Caenorhabditis elegans: one gene and its partners. Each later gene encodes a partner of the first gene's protein in a complex. Each region holds a gene or a part of one and is shown on either strand. Other genes may lie near its edges.

Evidence for each region.
Region 2: dpy-26 (region 1) and dpy-28 share a complex: the UniProt entries of both Caenorhabditis elegans proteins name them as parts of the dosage compensation complex.
Region 3: dpy-26 (region 1) and mix-1 share a complex: the UniProt entries of both Caenorhabditis elegans proteins name them as parts of the condensin I complex.
Region 4: dpy-26 (region 1) and dpy-27 share a complex: the UniProt entries of both Caenorhabditis elegans proteins name them as parts of the dosage compensation complex.

The regions. Positions count from the first base shown.
Region 1 is NC_003282.8:12,445,301-12,453,334, forward strand, and holds dpy-26 (Condensin complex subunit dpy-26), read right to left. Parts: upstream 6,036-8,034; 5' UTR 5,991-6,035; coding exon 5,949-5,990; intron 5,900-5,948; coding exon 5,557-5,899; intron 5,502-5,556; coding exon 4,522-5,501; intron 4,469-4,521; coding exon 3,747-4,468; intron 3,289-3,746; coding exon 2,671-3,288; intron 2,626-2,670; coding exon 2,532-2,625; intron 2,044-2,531; coding exon 1,975-2,043; intron 1,926-1,974; coding exon 1,821-1,925; intron 1,773-1,820; coding exon 1,257-1,772; intron 1,205-1,256; coding exon 902-1,204; 3' UTR 585-901; downstream 1-584. Other genes in the region: C25G4.3 (Ribosome-binding factor A), read right to left, coding at 450-584; Transcription regulator spe-44, read right to left, coding at 6,985-7,415, 7,463-7,675, 7,973-8,034. UniProt on the Caenorhabditis elegans protein: Required for both chromosome condensation and segregation and for X-chromosome dosage compensation depending on its binding partners.
Region 2 is NC_003281.10:10,761,200-10,766,142, forward strand, and holds the start of dpy-28 (Condensin complex subunit 1), read left to right. Parts: upstream 1-1,931; 5' UTR 1,932-1,947; coding exon 1,948-2,075; intron 2,076-2,743; coding exon 2,744-2,961; intron 2,962-3,815; coding exon 3,816-4,090; intron 4,091-4,742; coding exon 4,743-4,943. Other genes in the region: tasp-1 (TASPase homolog), read left to right, coding at 264-487, 1,155-1,220, 1,403-1,607. UniProt on the Caenorhabditis elegans protein: Required for both chromosome condensation and segregation during mitosis and meiosis and X-chromosome dosage compensation depending on its binding partners.
Region 3 is NC_003280.10:10,822,291-10,827,275, forward strand, and holds the start of mix-1 (Mitotic chromosome and X-chromosome-associated protein mix-1), read left to right. Parts: upstream 1-1,955; 5' UTR 1,956-2,093; coding exon 2,094-2,187; intron 2,188-2,273; coding exon 2,274-2,357; intron 2,358-2,516; coding exon 2,517-3,448; intron 3,449-3,499; coding exon 3,500-3,651; intron 3,652-4,111; coding exon 4,112-4,217; intron 4,218-4,266; coding exon 4,267-4,406; intron 4,407-4,985. Other genes in the region: R06F6.12 (uncharacterized protein), read right to left, coding at 171-545, 719-825, 878-966, 1,012-1,454, 1,500-1,677, 1,728-1,789. UniProt on the Caenorhabditis elegans protein: Essential protein required for both chromosome condensation and segregation and X-chromosome dosage compensation depending on its binding partners.
Region 4 is NC_003281.10:3,813,647-3,821,374, forward strand, and holds the start of dpy-27 (Chromosome condensation protein dpy-27), read right to left. Parts: upstream 6,034-7,728; 5' UTR 6,032-6,033; coding exon 5,606-6,031; intron 5,557-5,605; coding exon 5,455-5,556; intron 5,373-5,454; coding exon 5,014-5,372; intron 4,830-5,013; coding exon 4,074-4,829; intron 4,011-4,073; coding exon 3,773-4,010; intron 3,567-3,772; coding exon 3,358-3,566; intron 3,310-3,357; coding exon 2,859-3,309; intron 2,728-2,858; coding exon 2,290-2,727; intron 1,971-2,289; coding exon 1,693-1,970; intron 1,626-1,692; coding exon 1,277-1,625; intron 1,173-1,276; coding exon 632-1,172; intron 526-631; coding exon 263-525; 3' UTR 1-262. UniProt on the Caenorhabditis elegans protein: Central component of the condensin I-like dosage compensation complex that associates specifically with hermaphrodite X chromosomes to reduce their gene transcription throughout development.

The DNA of each region.
Region 1 (8,034 bases):
TATGTCATTTTCGATTTTTCGCCTCTAGAAAATTTCGAAAAAAATTGAATTCCGAAAAAGCAGCCTACATTTTAAAATCTTTTTCGTTATAGAAGAAAACTTAACGGTTTCTTGTAATTTTTCTCAAAAAAAAACACAAAATTTGATAAAAATGTTGACATTTTTTGTTAATTTAAATTGACAAAAAATTAATTTTCGATTTCTAATTTTTTTCCCGAAAAATCAAAAATGTTTTCAATTTATTTATCATTGATTTTCTAAAGTTTTTCTCTCATTTCGTTGAGCTCGCGGTTACGGTACCCTTTAAAGGCGCAGACCCTTTCGCATTTAGACAAAAATTGTCGTTTCGAGACCGGGTACTGTATTTTTTGCGCGAAAATCGCAAAATTTCGCGCCTGGGTAATAAACGAAAGTTGAATTTATATTTTTCAATCTAATTTCCAAAGAACCTTATCATATCTCCACTCGAATCTTGAAAGAACCGAATTTCCACATCCACGTCCCGTTTTTCGATTCACATAATTTCTGGGTCCCTTCAGAGCCGCCGTGCTAGTGGTAATCCATCGGATCCCGTTTCTATACATCTGAATTCGTAATTTTTATGGAATCAGTGAATGCTTTTTCGGAAGAATCAGAAAGGGTCTTTGTATCCCTAGAATTCTACAAGTTTTATGGCTCGAATATCATATTGAATATTCATTGTAAAGAGTGATTTGACAGAAAACTTAAAATTTTTGGTGTCGGGGTACTCAATTCAGAGAGAGAAAAATAAATAAAGAAACTTCGAGTTTCGAGAAATGAGAGATAAAATGAATAAATACATCGAATTGGGTGGATTCTGAGATTCAATTTTGATACCGAAAATAAATGATTTTTTATGGAGAAATTTAATAAAGTATGCTTATTCTTCCATTTCTTCTTCTTCTACGATTGCTCCGAGATCACTTGTTGTAGGTTGACCACCTGCTCCACGACCTTTACGAACTGGTACTGCCTTCGGACGTCGCATCAAATTCGAGAACACATTATTCGCATCGCTAGCCGTACCCTCGATGGCGTCCGGATCTTGAGTTCGTTTCCAGAACTCGTCTTGATCCTCGATTCTTCCCATTTTCAGACCACGTGGTAGGCTTTCACTTGAATTGAGAACAATGAAATCAGACATCCAGGATCGCTTTGATCGATCTTGAACAATTTGCAAGTTCTGAAAATTTAGAATGAGTTTGAAAAAATAAACTCAAAAAAACTAAACATACATTTTCATTGGCAATATGCAATAGGAAGCTGACGATAGACGAGGGCCTAACAGTCTCTCCCATTCTGGAAGGCATTGAAAGTGCCAACGAAAGAAGTGTATGGCATCCATTTATATGCACTTTTCTATTTTCAGTGTTAGCAGTTCCATATGTAGATGTAGTTGGTTGATTATTGGGACGCTCATCTGCTGCTTGATAATCTGGCATCTCTGTTAGTGCCTTCATCGTTTCGTTCACATCGTGATTCGATTTGTTCGGTGATCTATAGTCAAACACTGACGTCAACGTTTTGTCGGCCTCCATTGTCGGTGTTGCAGGTCTTCCGGTTTCATTACGATCATCGGCAGCTCGGATAGTTGTATTATTCATTCGTAGAGTCTGATTAGATGTCAACTGCTCCAGAACATATTGAATTGAAGGCATCGATAGACTATCAGTCTTCAGAATTTCAGCGAGACACTTCTTGTGCTTGGCGGCGTCAAGATTCTTTGCCTGGATCGACTGGCGATCGAATGACTGAAAATTATACAAACTTTTTTAATATAAATTTTTTGTTAAACTTACATCGTCAAATTCATCATCTGAATCTCCGTATTCACCACCGTATCGTTTGGAATGGATATTCGGGAACATTTGATTAATGTGACTTGCGGTCAAGGCTAGTTTCCTCTGAAAATGTTCAATGAGCACTGGAAAAAATATTCCGTCTTAATTTTACCTGCATATCCGGACCCATTTGTGCAGCAGCGAGTTGTTGTTCATAGTTTGGATCGTATCTGTCTTCGTCCTGTAATTAGATGCCGAATTATTTTGTAGTTTTCTCTCCGAAAATACGGTATCAAGGTCTCGAAAAGACGCATTTTTTGCAAAATTTTTGTTGATTTTTCAATAAATAAAATTTATTTATTAAAATCTGTAAATACACTAAAAAGGAATTGTTTTCTCGTGCTTTATTTCAATTTTTAATTAAAAAATCTGTTTTATAGAAAAATCACCGAAAACATCGCATCAACGATAGTCTAAAACTACAGTACTCTTTAAAGGCGCACACTCGGCTTCATTATAAAAAATTGTCGTGTCGAGACCGGGTACTGTATTTTTTGTTCTAAAGTCGCAACATTTCGCGTCTGAGCTATTTAACGGTATCGATCGTCGAAAACTTTTGGACTTTTGAACGAGCTTTTTTTAACTGGAAAAATCAACAACGAAAATTTTTCGATTCTCGATTATTCAGAAAACCGACAGGAAAACCGGCAGGTCTTAACAGAAACGTACGTAATAATCGTTGGCAAAATCGTCATCAAACGGTTGCTCTACGGCAGTTCGTAGATTCTCGTCCGAGTCAGAGCCAGTGATAGGCTCCGGATTTCTGAAAAATTAACAATTTTATATATATTTAATCCTAGACACTCACTCCATGCACCTGAATCCACTGAATGAAAGTAGCCAATTGAGACAATCCGAATCCTTGTTTCCTCTGGCTTCATCAATGAACAAATCTTGCTCAGCCTTTTGATTTTTGACACGTTCGAGTCGTATTTTCCCATATGATTTCTTGAAGAACATCCCGCTGTTACCGAGAAGACCCATTTCAAAAGCGACATGCGGCTTGTTTTCAATTCCCAAAGTTGGAAGATATAACTGTTGTTCCGAAAGGAAAGTGCTCTTCTCATCAGCAATTTTAGAGCATTTTGCAGCAGTAATTTCTCGTTCAATCTCGTCATCAGGAATGTCACGGAAGTAATGAACGAAATCTTCGACAGTGGCTTTTCTGCTCTTCGCTTTCTTTTCTCGCCGTTTCCGTTGTGCTGTAACCGCTGCTTGTCTCTCTTGATCACCAACGACTGGTGGAACCCAATGAGCATTGTCGTTCTTTCCGATATTTTGAATCTCTTCACGCATTTCTGCAGATGGTCCAACAAGTTGTGGCGGTGGTGCAGAAGTCATCAACTCTGCAACTTCATCGGCTGCAAGTGCAATGTCCTCAAGCTCCCGTTGAACATCTTGCTCATTTCGTTCTTCTACTTCAGTTCTGAAATTGAAAAAAAATGTGGATAGTCTTTTCAAAAATGTTGAATCTAGCGTTTTTCAAAGGTAAAATTATAAAAAAGCAAAGAGTATCCAATTAATATTGCCGGAAACTCAAAATGTCGAAAATAGGGGAAGCGCGGGAATTCAGAAAAGATTTAACTTTTTTTGCAAAATTGTTGAAGAAATCTCAAAATAGTTGTGGTTATTCATTACTCATGTGATGTAGAAAATTTTTTAAAAAATGTATTTTTATACATTTTCCCCCCTATTCGTCTAGTTTTTGTATTTTTTTGCATTTTTCGACACTCATGAATAGGTGAGAATGGATAAAAATAAATTTTTGCATTTATCTACATTAAATGAATAACGGTTTTTTTTGCTATATTGAAACGTTCTTCTGTCATTATAGGCAACAAAAAACCGAACAGAATCAACTTTCAATTCAAAATTGAAACTTACTCATCCATCTGCTCATTAAAAAGAATATCAGCCACCCTTCCATCATTTCTATTATTATCTCCTTCCATTTCCTCAACTTCAACCGGAGCTGCAAGTCGATCATCAAAGTCTACATCAAAAGCAGCACCGCCGGCATCGTAATCCATTTCCTCAATAGGCTCCATATCAACATCTTGTTGTTGCACTTGTTCCCGTATTTCTTGTTGAATTTGTTCTAACGGAACATCATCTTCAGCTGTACTATCCTCACCAGACCACATTTTCATCACATCAGACACTTCATCATTCACTGTGAAGTCTGCTGGACGATCTCCAGGATAGTTATTCATATAATCATCCGATTTCACCAAGAACAAATTCTTTCCAATTTCCGGAACCATATTTCTATACGATTCTTGCTCGTCAATCGCATTTTCATCCAATTGAGAACGAGCTTCTCGATTTACATTCATTTTTACAACATCATAGTTGGTCCATGCATCAGTTGCCTTAATCCAACCTTCGATTCCAGCCTGACGTGGATGTTTCGTGTCATTCTTCATAATTGCCTCATCATCTTCACCCCATTCTTCTGCACGTATTCCATTTTTCCAGACTTTTGATTCAAGTGTATCAGATGTGTTGAACACTTCCAGCTTCTTATCAAACATGTTGGCTAATGTTTGATCCATTTCATTCGGCTCAATTGGCAGTTTTCCAATGAGATGCTCATCGAGATCATTCTGGAAAATAATTTATATCATAAATGTATTCAGAGGCGCGCAAAAAAACTTACAGCTTCAAGAGGTGGAAGAACATATTCGTCACTCGCTTTCTGTGACACAGACGACTGAAGAGGAGGTGTAAGCCTATCTAGAGCGATCGTCTCATCGTTTTCTCCCTGGGCGAGTGGTAATCCTTGATTTCCTGGAAGCATTGACATATCCGATGCTCCTGCCACCGTCATATCCAGATTTGAAGGCCGATGATTCATCTCTGCGAATGTCAAGTTGGCGAGATCTTTCTCACGAGACGATTCCGCCAATGGTAGCGTTGACTTCTTCACATCCTTTGACATTATTTTGTATCTCCCAATAACTGGGCGATCTTTGACTTCGAGCATCAAGTAGTTGTCGAGAATTCGTGGCTTTTTGTCTAATGAATTGGTGAGGAGAGCTCGTGTATTTTTTACAAGTGAGACAGACACATCGGACGTGAAAAACCGATCATCAGCATTCTTATCGGCAATTCGATTATGCAACATAAGAGTTCGTCCATCGGGAGAATGAATTCCATAATAATTAAGAGAATGGAACGAGTTTGATGAATTGCACACGGATCCTTTCGTTGCCTTTTGAAATGTCGGGTTAGCTCTCAGCCAATCGATATTTGCGTCTTTCAGATCATGAGCCGTATCATCAGCACTTATGTAATTGGAAACATCAGAGAGAAGGTCAGCTCTGAGATCAGTTGCTCGTTTGATTGACAATGCATAAATGAGTTTTTCGGGGAAAATGTCTCTTTGAAGAAATGCGTCAACATCTTTGGAATTGGCTTTGAAATCAATTCGTGGCTCTCCGGCAATATTTTCCTCATCTTCTTTCCAATTCTTATCATTGTCTGCGTCAAGTTCGGTGGTTGTCAGAGCATCATCCATATTATTGAGAAAATCGAGCATTCCATTCATTCCGTCAACAACAGCCATTTTCTTTTTAGCTTTTCTGCTTTCCAGTGTTAAATGAATTTCTTCACCATTTGAATCTCGCATAACAGTTCCTGTAATAAAAAGAAACGATAAATTCCAAGAATATTAAAAAAAAAATGTAATTACCACTCGAGAGAGCTGAATCAATTTGTCGAACGTCGTGGTGAAGCCGATCGACTCGATAACCAATAATGCACTGAGCTCCTTCGAGCACAACTGCCATCTCTTGGATTGAAGCTTTTGCTTTGATCATATCTTCGATTGTATGAATTTCAAGCGGCGATTTATATTCGAAACAGTTGAGCTCTCCAACTTTTTTCTTATTCACAATATCGTCGATATGGGCGCCAATTTTTGTCATAATTGTTTCTGGCACCACATCCGCTGGCCTAATTTTTTTAGTTCCTCGAACTTTACGCAATGGGGTAGATCTGAAGCCATCATCTTCGTCATCATCTAGAACTTGTCTCTGAAAACATTACGTTTTTGGTAGAAGCAGAACATTCTTCTTTTTTTACTTTTCTGCGTCCAGTGACGTTGCTGGATGATGGTACATCCATTTCCCTGTAATTAAAACACAATTTTAGATAATAGAAAGCAGGAGAAAATAAAATATATTCAAACAAGAAGCACAATTCAATTCAAAAGTCCTCGTTGCTAAACAAAGGGTCGAAGGGAGACCGGAGTTTCGTAATGATGTTTAGTCGTCTGCGACTCTTGTCTCTCGTTGTCAACGCGGGAACGAGGCAGTTCGCACACTGAGAATCCAAAGAGAATGTAAAAAATTCACAAATTGATTGAAATTGTTATGAAGTAAATATATATTTAAAAAGAAAGTTTTTCTGATGCCTTCGACCGATCGATAAAGCTACAGTTCAATTAAAGGGACACATACAGAAAATATCTGTTCGTGGCGAGACCCTACAGTAATAAAAATATTCGCGAATGAAGATTTATGCTTTTGTGCGAATTTAATTCTCAATTGTTTACTTATGAGCGGAGTATTATCTCTCTCAAGAACAAAATCCGCTAGCAGATGATTAGCACAAATTCTATTCATCTGAAAACCGATTGTGCCCTTCTGAAAGCTTGTTGTTTGCTCAATGATATATTTTCGTCTCTATCTCTTTGTTGCCATGACACTTTGATGAGTATTCGTGTGAAACTCATTTTTTGGAATCAAGTCGACGCAATCAATAATGTTGTTGATGAAGGCGTCTTAATTCCAAAAGAATGAGGTTGAAAATTGAATATAAAAAAAATAAACATAAATTAAAAGATATTCCAGTATTACGTTGTGACGAGTAAGAGTTTGTAAAACATGAATAGAAATTTCAAATGAACACGATTTCATTATAAAGGCATGAAACATTCTAGAAGAACTACAAACAATTTTCACCGGTATGTTGAGGGGGGAAAGCTCACAAGTAAGCAGTGGGCTATTCCACTGGATCAGAATTTAATTATATTCTATAAAACATGAAGTTCTAAAATACATACGAAAAAATGCACACACTATTTGTGCGTTTGTGGATTAAATCCGTAATTGTTTAATTATTGAATATGACTAGGTCCTGGAAGACATTCAGATTCTGGATAATCGTCGTACTTGCAAACATCAATAAGTTCCTCAACCTTCTCTTCTGTAAATTCTCGAGCAGTGTGAAGACTCTCTTGACTTGAAGATGATGTTCTCGGCTGATATTTGACACTGTGCTCCTCGGCCAAAGTTGATTGAATATCGTTAAACATTTCGTCATGTTTCCGCTGTTGGTAAGCGTTTCGTTCAATCGATTGAACACGATGAACAACGACAGGTGGAATTCCGAGAGCGAATGCAGTACGAGTGAGCATGTTGGCAGTGGTGGGAGTGACAGGATTATCCATAACGGATTGTTTCAGATTGATTGCACTGACAATGATGTCGTCGCAGAAATGACCGATAACACCGGTTTGTTGCATTTGAGACCAGAAATTCATAGGATCTGAAATAAAAATAAATTAGTGATAAATGTTATGTCAAATAGCTTACCGTTCTGCAGACAATTGAGAATATCATTGAATGGCGTGCACTCATTGGATTCCTTATTTGAAGAAGTTGGCTCTTCATTAGATGACATTGATTGCAGTGGTGGCGCATCAATGAAGAACTCCTCGAAGAAACGATCGTCTTGTGGCTCCATTTTGACCATTTGTCTGGGCTTGTTGACACTTCCACGTGGACGTCCACGAGCTTTTTTGGCGCCTGAAAAATGATATGTTTCCAGAATACTGGTAGTTATACAAAAGGAGCTAGTTTTAGAATGTTCTAGCAATATAGAATAATGTTTCCTTTATCTGAAAAAACTTATATTTAAGTTGGAATAGTTGAAAAGATGCTCACAAATCTCAAACTTTGAGACAATATTTGAGCACTTTTCCGATTGTTCCAACTAAAATATAAGTTATTTTTAGACATAACAAATATTATTCCTAAATTTTAATGAAAAATATTGAGAGAACATGTCAAAACTAGATCCTTTTGTAGAATTATCGGTCGTACTCTTTCTATTATCATCATTATCCGCCTCTTTTCCAGCCATCTCATTTTCGATCTCATATTTA
Region 2 (4,943 bases), on another chromosome or scaffold:
AAATACGAGTTTAAAAAACCAGATTGTCAACTCCATTTTGGCAAAATTCTATAAAAATCTCGAATTTCCTCTATTTTAGCCGGTTTTGGGTCTAAATTTCTCTGAAAAAAAAAAACGGTTTTCAAATAAAAAATTACCACTTTTCAGTAAAATGCCAATTTGGTTTGCAAAAAAAAAATCGATTTTCAAAAGTTTTTCCCCCTGAATTCTATCAAAATTTCGTATTTTTCCAATTTTCGCCACGAAAAATGTCTTTTTTGCAGACAATGAACTCAGAATCCGGTACTTCAAGCGGTGGAATTGTGCTAAAACACTCGGGACGGCTTGGTCACAGCTGTGTATATGGAAGTGGAACATGGTCTGAACGAAGGCAATACGAAGAACCATTTGATCAAGTCAGTGAACGAACCATCTCGATTTGTTCGACAGGACACGGTGAATCACTTGTGAAAGCCGATTTCTGCAGGGGTATCGCCACGAGAGTGCTGTAAGTTTGGGAAATTATTGAAAATTTGGAGATTTTGCGCGCACTGGATCATTTTCCGTAGAAATAACTTAAAACTGAGCAGTTTTAGATGTAAATCAGCATGAAAATCCACAATTTTGATGATTTTTGAATCTTTTTTCGAACAATTAGCACAAAAATCTATAATTTTTGGAAATTCTGACCAGTTTTCTTTTTAAAAAAGTTGCTTAAAATTCGGGGATTTTGCGCGTTCAGGACCATTTTCTGTAGAAATTGCATAAATTGGGACGTTTTTAGCGATTACAATTTTACAAAGGCAATTTTCTCTCAAAATTAGCACAAAAATCCACAATTTCCTATCTATTTTCTGCAAAAAATAGCTCAAAATTCGAGATTTTCATATATTTGTGATCTGAAACAAACTGCAAATCCAAGTTTTTTACCGTTTTTCTTGAAAATGTAGCACAAAAATGTAATTTTTGACTGTTTCTAAACTTTTTTCTCTTAAAATCGGCAAACAATTGATAAATTAACAATTTTTAAATTATTTCCCTTACAAATAGCTTTAAAAATTGTAAAAAAAAGAAAATTTAATATTAAAAAAGATTTTACGACTAAAAAAAAAGAGATAAATCGCTGCGAGACCCTAGTTACCATAACAACAACGCATCAATTTTGTTTCTTTCAGAGACGACGAGGAGGGTATCATGTACAGTGAGATTATTCGAGAATTCATACACGAAAAAATGGAACAGTAAGTAGATTTATTATTCCATTCAGAGCAGCATATTTATATTTAAATAATTGAAAAATTGAACATCGAAAGTTCGAAAAAAATGAAATTTTTCATAAAATTTTGTATCTGTTGATGAAAAAACATAATAAAGCTTTATATATATATTTTTCGAAAAATCGAAAAATTGATTTTTTTTGCAGTGGATCCCGATACGGTGGCATCGCATTGATCGCCGACAAATTCAAAGATCGAATGTCGCTGGAATTTCTGATTTTCCATAATTGTCGATATCTTCCGGCTGCAGTTCGTTGTCGAGACAATCAGATTCGTGTTTTTGAATCACAATTCGATCCGGATCAATGTACTACTGATCCTAAATGTGTTATCGAGTCATTCATCATGTAATAATATGTATATGATATCAAGAATTCCGCGTTTAAAACTTAGAAAAATCTGGAAATTGTGTTTTTTTTTCGGAATTTTCCGGGGTTTGAATGCGGAAATATACAAAACAACTCCCCCACTCCATCCGATTTCTCTCTCAATCCTCCGCTGAAGAATATTTTATGATTTGAAATTAAAATGAAATGAAGAATTTTGTAAATATTTTAATTTTTAAACTTTTAATTGTTTTTTCTTTTATTGAATTTATTCTAGTGCTCACTTGCTCGCTTAGAAATATCACTGATTTGTTATTATTTTTTAAAAACTAATTTCCCCCTTCTACAGGCTTTTCCCCTAACAAATGCCGAGAAAACAACGCGTTGTCACTACACCGTCACCACCGACTTCAGATGAAGATGAGGATATGGATTTTGGCTCGACGAGCCAGCAACAGCAGCAGCAGCCGACACGGAATAATGATGGATTGAGGTTGAGAATTTCAGTTGGAAAATTATAGATTTTTCAGTTTTTTTTTTCGTGAGAAAAATCAGATTTCGTGCACAATTTTCACATAAAAAACTAAAAAAATCAGTTTAAAATTCGATAAAAAACTTAATTTTTTCCGATAATTTCAAAAAAAAAAATTTAATATCAAATTTCAAAAATTTCAATTAAACTCCAGATTTAGATATATTTTTCTCAATTTTTACTGAAATTTCTCTGCAAATTGCAATAATTTCGATGCTTTCTTCACTGAAAAACCCATAATTTTCATTTAATTTCATTTAAAACTAATATATAATTTTTTACAGAACCTTTTATGGAATTTTCTAGAAAAAAAAGTAAAATAAAGAATTTTTCCTGTGAAGTTTAATAAATATGCACCGTTTTCTAGAAAAAAAAGAAAAACCATGGATTTTTCCGTTTTTTTTTTTGAAATTCATTTCAAAAACCGAAAAATCAGTTTTTTTTCCATTTTTCCTCAATCAAAAATAATTTTTTTAAATTTCCACAGAAAATGCAGAAGTAAATCGGAATTTTTTAAAACAAAATATGAAAAAAAAATCACAAATTTCTTCAAATTTCTCCTGAAAAACCGAGAAAAAGGCTGTTTTTTTCCTGTCAAAAACTCTAAATTTTCAAATTTTTTTTTTCAGTGGCTTCAAAAGTATCACGGAAATCATCGCCGAAGCTGACAATAATATTCCATCCGAACAAATCGATAAGGATATCGACAGTTTCTCTTCATATTCGGATATTTCTGATTGGAGAGGAATTCCAAAGTTCTTTCCATCGTTGAGCTCACTTTCACGGCGAGCTTCTACTTATGAGAATTGGGAAAATCGATTCAAAGTCGTCGATTATCTCGTTTCTTGTGCGTTTTTTGGTGGAATTTTGGAAGTATAAAATATTGCTCTAAAACCCGATTTTGAAGAGAATTTTTTTTAATTTAAAAAACCACGAAAAAGTTCAAATTTGCTATATTTTAAGAGGAAAAAAGTGCCCAAAACTCATTGATAATTTCCTGAAAAAGCAGAAAAATCGACAGTTTTCTCAATTTTTCTCAGACCAAAAAATTGAAAAATTTTGATTAGAAAAAAAAGATTTTTCGGTTTTTTTTTGTTGGAAAAAATAAAAAATTTCAAAAAAAAAGTAAAATGTTTAAAAATTTCGAAAAAAAATTGAAAATTGAAAAACCTAGAAATTTGTACATGCATATTTAGTTGAAAAATACCTCAATTTTTAAAAAGCTTCTAGAAATTTTTTTAAAAAGTAAATTTCCTCCTGTTTTTCCTCCGATTTTCGAAAAATTCAAAAATTTTCGCTGAAAAATTGTTTTTTTTCGGAGAAAATCTTTGAAAAACTTTGATTTTTCATAGAAAACATTACTTTTATTGTTTTAGACAATTTTCTCAATTTTTCGACAGAAGAATTGAAAATTTTTGTTTCAAAAAACTATTTTTCGGTTTTTTTTGTTGGAAAAAATAATAAAAAAATCAGAAAATTCTCAAAAAATATAGGACCTTTAAAAGCGGCAATTGTCTAAAAATTTCAAAGATAAACAGTTGAAAACTGCCGGATTTGCCTGATTTTTTCCGGTCATTTTCAACTTTCAGACAATTTTTTTCGCTGTTTTTAGTTGTTCAAAGTCGAATTAAAAAAAAATAATAATTATTTTCAAATGCAGATAATATATTTTCCACTTCAAAACCCCGCAAAATTTTGCAGGTTCCGGAGCTCTAAAAGACTCTGTAAGCGACTACGTGGCCGATTATTTCGAAAAAAATGAATCTGGAGAAGATCATAGTGTCGATGTGGAATTGGTGCATGCAGTCAGTATGTTTGTAATTCTTACTCAACGATTGACTGTTCAACTTCAATTATACGTATCAAAATCGATAGCATCAGCCAATCAACAGGCGAAACGTGGTACTGGAAGAGGTGGTCGTCAAGTTGATTTAGATGATGATATTGTCAAGTGGAAGGATATTCAGAGACATCGGGTAATTATAGTTTTCCAGGAAAAATAAATTGTAAATTTATAGATTTTTTAGAAGAAAAAACATTAAAAAAAAACGCAAAAATTCATGTGTCTTCGAGAAATTTTAGGTTTTTCAGAGATAATAGAAAATCCAAAATCGAAAAAAAAAGTTTGTAAAATAAATAAAAAAATCAATTTTCTTCTTAAAAAAAAAAGAAAACTCAGATTTTTTTAACTCCCAAATTTTCGATTTTCCGATTTCATTTTGAAAAAAATCGAAAAAAAAAACAACTACTGTAATCCTTAAAGGCTCACGTCCTTTTACTATAAAATCGGTCGTGCCAAGACCCGTTTAGTGAAAATTTCGCAAAATATCGCATCTGGGAAATATAAATATATAAAATTTCGTGTTTTCTGGTCAAAGCCCCCCGAAATCTGTATAGAAAAGAGCTCTTCCATCTAAAAAATTGAGTTTTTGAAATTATTATTTAGTTTCTAGAAAAAAGCTCCAAACTCTGAATATTTCTATATTTAATGCCATAAATATTTAAAAAAAAATTTCATATAGTTTTTTCTGCTGAAAGGATTTTTTTTTGGATTTTAATATCAATATAATATAATCAGATTTGTTAATCCATTTTAAAAATATTATTTGCAAAATTTTCAAAATTCAGATGATCAACTGCCTGCTGGAATTACTTGAACTTCGTGTCGACACCGTTGCCGGAACCAAGAAAAAGGCGATTCAATACGTTTTTGCGCCGGATGTCATGGAAAAGGACTTTTTGCTTCGCTTCCTTGACACAGTTGTCCAATTGCTTGAAGATCCCGAGAATATGGCTCGTTCCAGTCAACAATGGATTTCTCATTATTTC
Region 3 (4,985 bases), on another chromosome or scaffold:
TGCCCTCTTAAGTTTTACCTTTTTTGTAGATTTTTTATGTATCTAAAAAGAATTATGTGTATTTGATTGAACATGTGCAAAAACAAAATTAAATGATTAATTTACAACAATAGAATTTTAGCAACATATAAATAAATGAATCCATAAATTTCGAGTAAAAATGAAGAATATCAACTGCTTTGCTCATCAAGAACTATAATCTTCTCACGAGTACATGAATCACAAGCTGGTAGCCGAATAACAATGTACGATGGCTCCTTCTGGTAGACCTTCTTATCACAAATCGGGCAACAAAAGTTCGGAGTATGTACTAGATGTGGTCCGTCGACGACAGGAGCCAACTGATACGACTTTTTCAGAACTGGAGGGCACAGATCATCGTTGGCTGATCGCTTTTGAGCAGCATTTCGAACTGAAGCCATATCCGTCCTCCGGAGCAAGACGGGCGGAGCAACTTGTTGATACTCGTGATCACTTCGGTCTCGCTGGGGTACGAGCATCTGGTCGATGGTGGCGTACGCGAATTCTCCATTCATTAATTGGATCTGAAATTTCAAAGCTTTAAAAAATATACTTTATAGAAGTTTTATGAGCATTTTTCTTCGTTTTTTCTAGAAAAGCTCTGTTTTGATCCAAAAGTTGAAAATAATTACATTTTATCGGATCAAAACAGAGCTTATCTTGCCTAATTAAACAGAAAAAGTAAAGAGTTTCTCACCTTGTACTCCGAATCGCCTCGAACATATTTGACAACCGCATCTTGAAGACGACCATCAGCTGTCCGAATTTGAACGGTTTCTCCAATTATTGGGCTTCTTGTAGATTCTAAAATAATTTGGATAATTAAAATTAGTTCAAATAAGCTTCTGAAACTCACTTCCAGCTTCCAACTGTTCATGATGATGATGGTGATAACTTGTTGATGGAGCCTGATCGTTGTATGCAGAATCTTGAGCTTTTTCTTTTCTAAAAATAATAAAAATATAGTTAAAATTCTACGTGTTGACCTACATGGGCGGTAGAGCAAGTTGCACAAGTTGATGGACATTTTCAGTGCTTAAATTGTTTAAATCAATGTTCAAATTGGCGATTTCGGAGGGGGAAACATAGAATTGCTTCTGTTTTGATGTAATATTGACTCCACCATCATTTGTCAGAATAATATGCATTGCATTATCGATTATCTGACCATTCCCATCATATTCTTCCTCCGGCCCATTTCCATCACCTTCAAATTGATTTTCAATCATTTCGTGATGAACCATGTGATGATGTGAACCATCTTCTATGACAACTTCTTCATTGTGCTCTTGCTCGTTTTGTTTCGCCTGTCGTTGTTGACTAATCGCCACCACAATGTTCAGCTGCTCTTCGGTGAGATGATTAAGCTCAAAGCCTGCTTCTACATCGAAACCCGCTTCGTACATGTCTTCCTGCGTGATTTGAACCATATTCTGAAATATAAATATTCTTTCAATTCATCGAAAAGCTTGAAATACCATAAACTGTTGATCACCATCCTCCACAATCATATCTCCTTGTTCAAGATCTTCCGGCTGCTGCTGCTGCTGCTCAACAATTTCTTCTTCATGCTTAGCACTTTCAACTCGAAGTGGGGCCTGATCCTCGTGGAAAATATGATCTTCATCGGCAGGATATACACCTTCTGGGGAGGATCTGGAAATTCCATTTATTAATTTGAAAGAAAATGTGATTTTTATTCTTACCCAGGAATTTCTTCTTCACGGCCTGTTGTTGGGCTAGCAGGATTTTCTTTTTCGGAATCCATATCTGCAACGATTTTCGTTGTTTAATAAAAATTAAAAAATAAAAATTAATAAATGACTCTAAATTATAGCGAAGGAGAAAAAACAAAGGAGAAAAAAATTACAAAAATCACAAGGCAACTTTTGCGCGTCAAATCTCATACATTCCAGTCCGCAAACACTCTCACGCCACTCTGCACACTTCTCAAAAGACGCGCCAAAAAACATTCAAAGCTCATTCGGCTTTCGAAATAAACATTTTCTCAAACTCGTTATCGACTTATAACTTATTTTTGTTCAAAATCAATTCGACAGGGTGCGCTCATAATGCACATTAAATCCATCCATCTGGATGGCTTTAAATCGTACCAAAAGCACACCGATATTCTCGATTTTTCGCCGACTTTCAACGCAATCACCGGTGAGTATAGTTTTGTGCTGAAAACTAATAGTTTGAAAAACTTTAATTTCAGCATAAAATATAGTATAATAATTGTTTTATTTCAGGATACAATGGTAGTGGAAAATCCAATATTCTCGATTCGATCTGCTTCATTATGGGAATCAATAAGCTCGATAATATCAGAGCAAGTATGTGGCTCTTTCTCATCACAAAATTATTTTGTTGTCATAGTGATACTTACGCGCTTTCGGACTGAAAAAGCACAAGATCAGAGTAGCATAATATTTCTAGCAAAGATTTTTTAAATTGAAATTTAGAAAAAAAAATTAAGTCAAATATCATTCCAGAATCAATGCACGAGCTGATTTCCCATGGTGGAACAAAAGCGATCGTCCAAGTTCGCTTCGACAACACTGATAAAAGATGCTCCCCGTTCGGAATGGAACATCTCGACGAGATCGTCGTTCAGAGAATCATCACAGCTCAAGCAACTGGAAAAGGATGTGCAACGAGTTACACACTGAATGGGCATGCGGCCACAAATGGAAAAATGCAAGATTTCTTCCGTGGCGTCGGTTTGAACGTGAATAATCCACATTTTCTCATCATGCAAGGTCGTATTACTACGGTGCTAAACATGAAGCCGGAGGAAATCCTCGGAATGGTTGAGGAAGCAGCTGGAACAAAGATGTATGATCAGAAGAAGAAAGACGCGGAGAAAACAATGTTTTTAAAAGATGCAAAACTCAAAGAAGTTGATAGAATCTTCCAATCAAGTATTGATCCGAGAATGGTAAAGTTCCGTGAAGACAGAAAGAATATGGTGGAAGTGACTCGTCTCAAGAAACTCAAAGAGAACTTTTCCCGAAAATACGAGGCGTTTCAATACTTTCAAACATGTGAAGCGGTGAAAAAAAGTGCAAAAGAGATTGAAGATGCCAAAAAGGGAATTGAAGATCTCGGTGAAAAGTTTAATCAGCTTGATCTTGACTTGAAGAATAAGGAAGATGAGAAGAAAAAGATGGAAGAATCTCGAGATGATCAACATGAAGAGGCTGCACTTTCAGCGGCTCATCTTTCGAAACAATCTATAATGCTTCAGAAGGAGACTGTCAAAAATCAATTGGTTGAAACAATCAATAAACTCAAAAAGGAAGGTGAACAAATCAACAAAAGCTTGTCAAAAGATCGTGAAGTTCTCGACGCAAAACGAAAAGAACACGAAGATTCAAAGGCGGCTAACTCGAAAGATATTCAAAGTCAATCTGATGATGAAGCTGTAAGTTCGAGAAATTATTCTAAAAATAAAGTTAAAAAAAAACAATTTCAGCTCGTCACAAAATACCGTAATGACCTCGAATCCCTAACGAGAGGAACAATTGCTAATGACAAAGGAGAACATGTGTCGATTGAGAGTGAAATACAGTCTTGCAAGTCGACTGCGTCTCAAATGTCATCTGGGATTACTGCTGCGAAGAAACGGTAACTTTCCTGAGAATTGGAACAAAAAATCTAATTTTGTTTATGTCGATAAGAATAATGACAAAAATTTTGAGATATTTTAAGAAAAATCGAAAAACAAAAAGTTTCGTTTTTTCGCTTTTTGAAAACGTCAATGATAGTTTTTTTGCGGATACTTTCAATGAAATTATTCTGTCGTTTTCTCTTCAGTTTTCTGTTTAAAAAATTTTAAACCAGTTTTATACTATTTTTACATTGAAAACTGGTTTTAAACAATTTTTAAACAGAAAAATTAACATAAAACGATAAAAAATTGACTACAAACGATGTAATTTCATTGAAAAATTGCAAAAATTGAAAGAAAACACAACATCGAAAAAATAATGCATTAATTTGGAAATTCAGTAAATTTAATGGGACAAAAGAAGAAATGTACTTTTTTAAATAGGAATATCATTGAAAAATTGGCAATTTATTTCAGCGGTGAACGTCTACACAACCAAATTAAACATTTGGAAGGCGAAAAAGCTACTCTCTCAGCCAGAAGTAAATCTGACATTGGAAGTGCCGATAATTATCAAAAAGAGGTATCAGATATTTCAATTTTTTTTTCTCCGAAAACTTAAAAATATTCAGGTCGATGAGATCAATAAGCAACTTCAATTATTGGGTTTCAATATAGATGCTGATACGGAGAAACGAGAACACGCTGCAAAATTGCATGAGAGCATCACTAAGCTCAAGGATATGGATACGAGACTTCTGAATTCATACAAGTAAGGTTTTGTGTGAAAATTCATTTTAAAAGAGTTATACCGTTTCAAAATTTAAAAAAAAAAACCTATTTTCATAATAAAACCCGAATTTTGTCAATTTTTCAGTATCGCAGCGAGCGGAACTTGGTTTTTATTCAATTATCGCCTTTTTATTGCATATTTAAATATGAAAAAAAAAAAACATATATTTTTGTAGTATATTATGCGTTTTTTTTTCGTGAATTCAGGTGCATTTTCTGCACATTTTTGGTGAAATCGACCGAAAAGCCATCAACATTAACGAAAAAACGTGCAATAAAGAGTGATAATTTACTACGAACCAAGTTCCGGCCGTTATGACACTGAAAAGTTGGTAAAATTCGAGATATTAGCTTTAAAAAATAGTTTTCTTTCGGAATTTTGAGAAAACTTTTTTTAATTTTAAAACAGTTGTTTTTCAAAAATTAATGCTTTTTTTCAGCTAAAATTTCAAATTTCGCGAATTTTTTTTCGAGAGTTTCGGCATAATCAACTGAAAAAGCACCAAAATTTAGGAAAATTGCGTGATAAACTATCACAATATGCAATAAATTGTGGCTA
Region 4 (7,728 bases), on another chromosome or scaffold:
TGAATCGAAAATTTACCTTGTCAGCGAATTAAGAAAATGAGATAGATTGGACAGTACGTGATGCAAAGATATAGGGGTTTCACAAAATATACAACAAAATGGAAATATATTAAAAAGGGAAATAATTAAAATCACAAGGAAAAATTAAGCTAGACGAATATTAAAAAATACAAGCTTGAAAGAAAGTTGGTCTCATTTTTTGGATTTTTCACAAAGTTTTCTTTTTTTTTTCAAAATTTAGTTTAAAATATATTACTTCAATTTAATGTCTGCTTCTTCGCACACGGCGTTGAACGACAATTGGTGGTGGAGATGGAGTTGCTTCTTCGATCAATTCATCCTCTTCATCTTCCTCTTCAACTTGACGACGCGGACGTCTTCTTACTGGCTCATCGTCTTCATCTGAATCCTCAACACTTAATTCACGACGAGTTGCGGGTGGGAATCTATTAAATTCAGGAAGATCACTGTCATCATCGAGACCAAAGTCCGAGAGTTTCAGCATTTCCAGCCGGCGTTGTTTACCTGAAAATTGGTATTTGTTGAGATGGGTTTAAGTTGGACTGGTTGCTACTTTGATTTGGTATTTTACAATTAAAGTGCAGTTGATATGTCACTAATTATTACTTACGTTTTGGTGCAATAACGACATTGCTGAGCCCATTACTCAAATCAATTTCCGGTTCAATCTCGGCACGTCGTAGCTTCTCGCGCCGTTTGATCTCCTCCTCGAAAATCTTCAAAATCGGACGATTCTTGATCTCCACCGCGATCGGATCCACCATAATGTTATAAGTTTTTCCATCGATTTTATAGATACCAAGCAAGCGATTTCCGACCTCGAACATTTGATTTCGAAGCGAAATTATGATAAATTGAGCGTTCCGTGTTCGCTCGGAATGCTTGATATAGTTTGCAATCAGGCTGACATTGTTCAAGTCCAGTGCCGCATCGATTTCATCCATCACGTAGAGGGGTGTTGGACGGTAGTGGTGCATTGCAAAGACAAAGCATAAAGAGGCCAGAGTCTTCTCTCCGCCAGATAGATTCTCGATGAGCTTCCAGGATTTCTTGGCGGGACGTACACTGAACTTTATTCCACCATCGAAGGGATCGGTAGATTTTCCTTCTTCCACAAACTTCAAACTAGCATCTCCGCCATTGGTGATAAGCTGTAAGCAAATAACTTGTTTCTTTTAATCTCATTTAAAGCAATGGGTCTGACAGAAAAAATGCTTCCTGTCAGCCTGGTAGCAGGCAAGTACCCCTTACTCACCTGGTAAAGCATTTGGGTAGTAGTACCCAAGAATGCGAGCGCCTCGCTGAACTCGTTGAATCTCGCCATTCTCAACTCGTTGAGCTTCTCACGATGAGCCTTCAGCTTATCGCTAAACTTCTTCGCTGACGTCACCTCGTTCATGAGAAGCGACACAATCATCGCATAATCCCGAACACCTTTATTATCAAATTCCCGCCGGAACTTGTCAACATCTTTTTCCAGCTTGCAAATCTTGTTAGCAGTGTCCTCGAAAACATCGTCCTCAAGCATTCTCGCTTCGTGCTCTTCGTAAGCTTCACGGTGAGGTTCGATCATACTGATGCATTCATATGGGAGTACAACGTGCCTAAAAACTCAGTGATTATAAATTTGAATTTGCACATGGAAAATCTCCCAAAGCTTCTGAAACGTACCCATCAGTCATTTTGGCCGCAATATCTGGATCATTATATCTGACAAATTTGCCAGGTGGATAGAGCTTTTCCGGTTGCATCCATGCAGATTCAATAATATCAAGTTCTGCATTATCCGCCATTGTCTTGTTTTCCAAGTCATCAATGATTCTCATCAGTTCATCATAAGTCTGTTTGACCATGTTGTAGTTGTCAACTGTGGTTTGATAGGCTGCATCTGCTTCTCGGCGTGCCGCAACCGCTTCAGTGTACCTGGCTCTTTGTGCATCAATGCTGGCCTGGAAGATTAAAAATTAGAAAATAGTAAAGCTTGAATTGGTAAATTCTGAATAGCTCGAAAATGGCGAACTTCATAAGGAGACTGCTTAAAAAAGCGCAAAAATTGTTTGAATAGTGGTTTAAAATTTTGAAAAAAAATCGAAAATGTTTACTAGAACTAAGGGAGCAAGGTTGGAAACACCAAGCTAAAGCCTAAGCCTAAAAAAAGCCTAAGTTGGAGCTCAAGCCAGAACCTAAGCCTGGACCTAAGCTTGAACTGAAGTCGAAGCCTAAACATAAGCCTAACCAGAATCCTAGTCCTATAGAAATTAAACATACCGTTGAAGTTTGCAATTGCGCATTGATAATATCAATTCCCTTTACATCCTCTCCAACTTCCAATTGAGCCAATGCATCTGCCTCGCTACGTTTCTCCAGACACATATGCTCCAGCTCACTAAGCTTCTTCTCGGCCTGCTCCAAATGTGATGGATTGTTCTCAATAATTGCAGTTTGTCGTGCAATGTCCTGCTCCAGCTGTCCCATTCGATCCTTCGCCTGCTCAATTGAGTCCTTATTTTTTTGGACCAACTCCATAAACATTCGGTCCATTTTCCGTTTGTATTGCTCAATTTGCTGCTTGATTTTTGCTGAAGACTTTTGGCTCTCCTCCACTTGACGTTTCAGATCTGCAATTTGAGCTCTCTTCTCGTCCAAATCCTCAACGGTCACTTCTCTATAGTTAACCATACGGCGCTCATGTGCTGCGATTGAGCTCTGGAAATAATTAAAAAATTAGAATGGAAATTTTGAATAAAATCTAGTTTTTTTTTCGATATATCCATTTTCAAGAAAATCGGAACAGCGAAAATTTCTGTGTTTCAGTAAGAGACGCAAAAATAAATCACCTTTAACTCGGCAATCCGTGTTTTCTGCTCCTTGGTGGACATAATCAATTCACGCTTACGAATCTCGAGCTGTTTGATAATCGGACCATTGTCGGCTCGGATCTCTTCTTGCTTTAACTGCAACTTCAAATGAGCTTCCAGTGCGTGATTGTGCTTCTCCTGTGCGGCTCTTAGCTTGCTCAAATCAACTTTTTTGACTCCACTCATGTTTGGATTATTATCATTTCGAATACGACCAGTCGTCGGTTTTCCACCACCAGTCAATGCTCCACTTCGGTTCAAAATTGAGCCATTCAGTGTGCAATAACGATGCCTTCCAGGATACTTCTTATCAATTCGAGTTGCTTCTTCAAGACTGTCAACAACCAGAATGTCATGGATCAAGAAATAGAATTCGCGGCGAATCTCAGGGTTTACACAGTGAATCTTATCGAAAAGTCGTTCGGCTGGGCTGAAAATAAGAATTAATTAGATTTGGCAACTAAAGGCAACTACCAACAATTTCATTGTAGAATCCATTCCGCTAGTATCAGTATCTTTCAAGTGATCCAAGAAGACAAACGTCGTACGAGGAAGTTTGTACTCGTGGCAGAAGCCAATTCCGATTCTACATTCATCGCTAGTTTGCACAACGTGGTAATCCAATTGTGCAAAGAACACTGTTGAAATTGCGGTGTCGAACTTGATTGGGATACTTGCCAAATCTCCCTGTAAGACAATTAATTTTAAATTGGTCCTCGAAAAAAAATCAATTCGAAATCAGACTAAACGTGTGGCTTCTGAATTTGAAAGATCCTATTTAAAATGTATTTCTCCCAGAAAAATCATACTTACATGGAACATCAGATTACCCCAGGATGCTCACAGCTAATCAAATTTCAAAGCAGGTACTCACTCCCAATCGAATAACTTACCAAGCGACCTTTGAAGCCCGGAAATAATCCAGCCTCTTTCAGTTCATGAAGCTTTGCGGTTGCCTGATGACGGTACGTAACTTCCTGGGTGTTCGATGCTTCAATCACTTCTTGATCCAGCTCATACTTCTTGCTTCTCAAAAGTTGTTCGGTAGACTTCAAATGCGGAAGCTTCTCGACAGCTTTGTCAAACTTCAGCTTTCTATCTTGCAGCTCAGTTGTGACGGCGTTTAGCTCACTGGAAGGATATGGGGAATTTTTAAAAGCTGGTTAAAATAAAATAAAATAAAATAAAACTTACGTATTATCTCTAATGTTCTCAGCCATCATTGTTTGCAATGTCCCTTTAAGCTCATCAACTCTCTTCTGTCCCTGCTCCATCATTATCGTCATATCCTTAAGTTCTGATTCAGAAACGTCCAATTCTGCTTTTGCTCGCATCGATTGCAGAAGCTCATCTGAGAGTTTTTTCTCCAGATCATCATGCTTCGCTCTGTCGGCACTAGACTTCTGATCATACTTGATGAGATTCTCTGTAGCTGTCCGCTGACACACATTCTCCTGCTCCTTGAGCTGATCCCATTCGAGTTGCATGTTTTGCTTAGAGATTCTCGCATTCTCTGGAGCCGTCTCAATTTCAAACTTCTCCCGACGAGCTTCATCCCGCTCCTTCATGAGCTTCCCAAGGTCCTGAGTACACGACTTGAGCCCCTGCTTTCTCTTAGCATCACGTGCATGCCAGTCATTCTTCTTCGATTGCCAATCGATTCTTTTATTCTCCAGCTCAGTGACAATACTATTAAGGCTTCTCTCGTGAGTCTCCTTCTTCCGAACTTCATCCTTTGCCTCAAGCATGATATCCTTGTTCTCTTCGAGTTCTCCTGTTCGAGTGACAAGACTCATTTTGGCGTCCCTCATTGTTTCAGCATAACGGCACAAATTGTGCTTGACACGGATTCCACGAAGGTAGTTGAGATTATTGAAGGTATTCAGGTAGGCCATCCCGATAACCATTGCCTTTTCAAAGACTTTTAGGTGTCCCTCGTGGCGGCGAACACTGGAAATGGAAAGAATTTTAATTTGAAATTTTTTTAAGTTTCAGAAAATTAATATATTTCAAGTTGAAACCGCAAAGTTTTTTTGTTTTTTCCTAGTTCAATTTGAATTTCCATGCTTTATATTTTTATGTGGTACATCCGTGCCAAAATTTGTGGTATTTAATAATATTAAAATGAACTTACGAGGCTCCATATTGTGAACTTTTGTGCTCCAATAGAGAAACCCGATGCATTAGTTTGGAAATTGGTGCGACAAAACGATTGGTTCCAACAATATCCTCAATATATTCAAGCATTCCTTCTTCATTCGGATTTTTGGATGTTGGCTTCATTAGTGCAATCGCTTCAACTTCTCCTTGCAGAATCAGGAATCGATTATGGGTCATATCAATTCCAGCACGTAGGAGAAGCTCCTGGACGTCTTTTTGCGATGCATCTTTGTCATCAATACGATATTTTGAATTGTTTTCACGATTTATTGTGCGGGTGATGCAGACGCAATTATCTGTTAACACTTCATATTTATCGTAATTTTCGACAGGCTGAAAATTAATTTTGATATTGATAGTTATTAGTTTGTTTTCAATCGTGTGGATCTCAGGCCCGCTTTAATAACCTACTTACCATATCCTTCACCATCTGGAACATAATTGTTACTGAACATGATTCGTAGTTCCCTCCTGAATTGATCAATGCTGATAGCTTCTTGGTACGAATTTTTCCAGCCTGAAACAATGTATATTGTGGAATAAAAATTTCAATTTAAAAAACTCACTTTAAATCCAAACACGAATAGCAATGCATCAATAACGTTTGACTTTCCACTTCCATTTGGTCCCAGGATCATTGTCAAGTTCTTGTGAAACGGTCCGAGAATATGTTTTCCAGCATAACTTTTAAAGTTCTCAACGTAGATATTCAGAATTATCATTCGATTTCCATCCGGATCCGAGATCTGATCTTCATATTTTGGGGGAATTTGAACATTCAAAAGATCCTCTTTTTCATCATATTTCACACCGTTTTCAGCCGCTTCAAGTTCCAACATATACGCGCCTGAACTAACATCATCGAATATGTTGAGCTGTTCCATGTACTGTCGTCGGCGATCCACGTCGAGATCGACTTCAGGCATCGAGTCGGTGTCAGCATATGGTCTATCATCGTCCGAGGTTAGCGCCCGTCTTTTAAACGGCTGCATACCTGAAAAAAGGAATTAATTTTGATAAATATTAAAAGGGAGAGGGAGAGTAAGAGGTGCATAATTTTGCCAAAAAGGCAAAGCTTTGGAAATGTTTTGACAACTGGCAAACTTTCGACCCCTTCCAATCAAATTTTTTTGGTAATTATCAACTGACAAAATTTCTTTGAATGCCAATTGCCAACATTACCTAATCAAAAAATTTTGAAATATATATTTCATATTTAAAATTGAATCACACAGTTTACAAATTGATAACATTGAAAAAAGTCATCTAGAAATTTATTAATGTTATAGTATATTATATAGTTATCAGTATGATTTCACCTCAAATATTGAAAACTAAATTTTTAATGTTGGGGAAAAATTCAAATCGATAATTCAAACGAATTTTTTTTCCGGACTTTAGGAAAATCAGGGCACAGATAACATTGGAAACTATATATAAGTTTGTTAATTTTTTTAAGATTTAAGATTATGAAAGCTGCGCTAATTAATTTATTTGTCAAATTCAAAAAAAAAGTTAAGAAACGGTCACACACGAGCACACACCCATTTCATTGCGCGCGCGCAAGCGTATGTCTGTGTCTGTGTGTGCGAGCTGTTACTACTGCTGACCGAGTGTGGGGTTAGAGGCAGACGACGAAAGAGAACGAAGGTGAAAGTGGAAAAGAGCATGGAGAACGTGGAGACTGAGAGAAATGACAGACTCCGACTGCGGTCAAGACGATTCGGGTGAGAGAAAGAATAGTGGAATAAGAGACGGAGAGAATCCATAGCAATGGGTGGGTGGGTGATGAGCGGAATATTGTTGCGAAGAAGGTTGGGTGTACCAGACTAAGGAGCTGGAGAGATAAAGATTCTAATTATTTGAAAATTTGGCAAACGTTTCCCATTACTAGATGTACAAATCGATATGCTACAGATAGTCGATCAACGATCACGCTTTGGGAAAAGTATACGAGTTTTCAGCTGAAGAGGTCCCCAAAAAACCGAGAGGTTTTTATATGTATAATATTGAAAAAAAATCACTAGATTTTATTGATAAGAAGTAGTTTAACACGATGAGTGAAACTTGAAATTTTATATTAGATATGTATGTGAATCCAGATGGAAGCATGAAGGAAATGAGCCAAAAATTTTGTCAATTTATGTGTCTGTACGATCTCTATTGAACTTCGTCTATAATAGAACAAGTAGTTAAAGTCCTGATAGGCATTACTGTCTGCGATTACCCGTGTCTTGCTCCGTCAAATCCATTGCACCAGTTGATCCGGGCATCCTTAATGAAGAAGAGAATAGAAGAGAATTGAAGTCAGAAGACAAAAGTATAAAACTGACTAGTTTTAACAAGGTGTGAGAAACAAGAGACGGATGATTATTTTGTACTTCTCAGGTCGCCTAGGTAACAAGCACACTGGTACGGGCTGGCACGACTCCATCTTGTGATGGGTAGAAGAGGTGTGTGAGAGAAGAATATGAGCTGATCTCCTCTGTTGAGATGATAGATAAGCTTATAATTTGAGCAGTTAGTTGCGTGTAATTGAGGATTTCGTTTTTGATGTTGCAGCCAACAACGGGTCTTCTAATGGTGGGAAATGAGAGATCAAACAACGGATGGTCTTGTGAGCAAGAACATCTGCCAACATACGGTTCAGATGAGCATATTACAGAGTCACAAACCATGTAAACTTCTA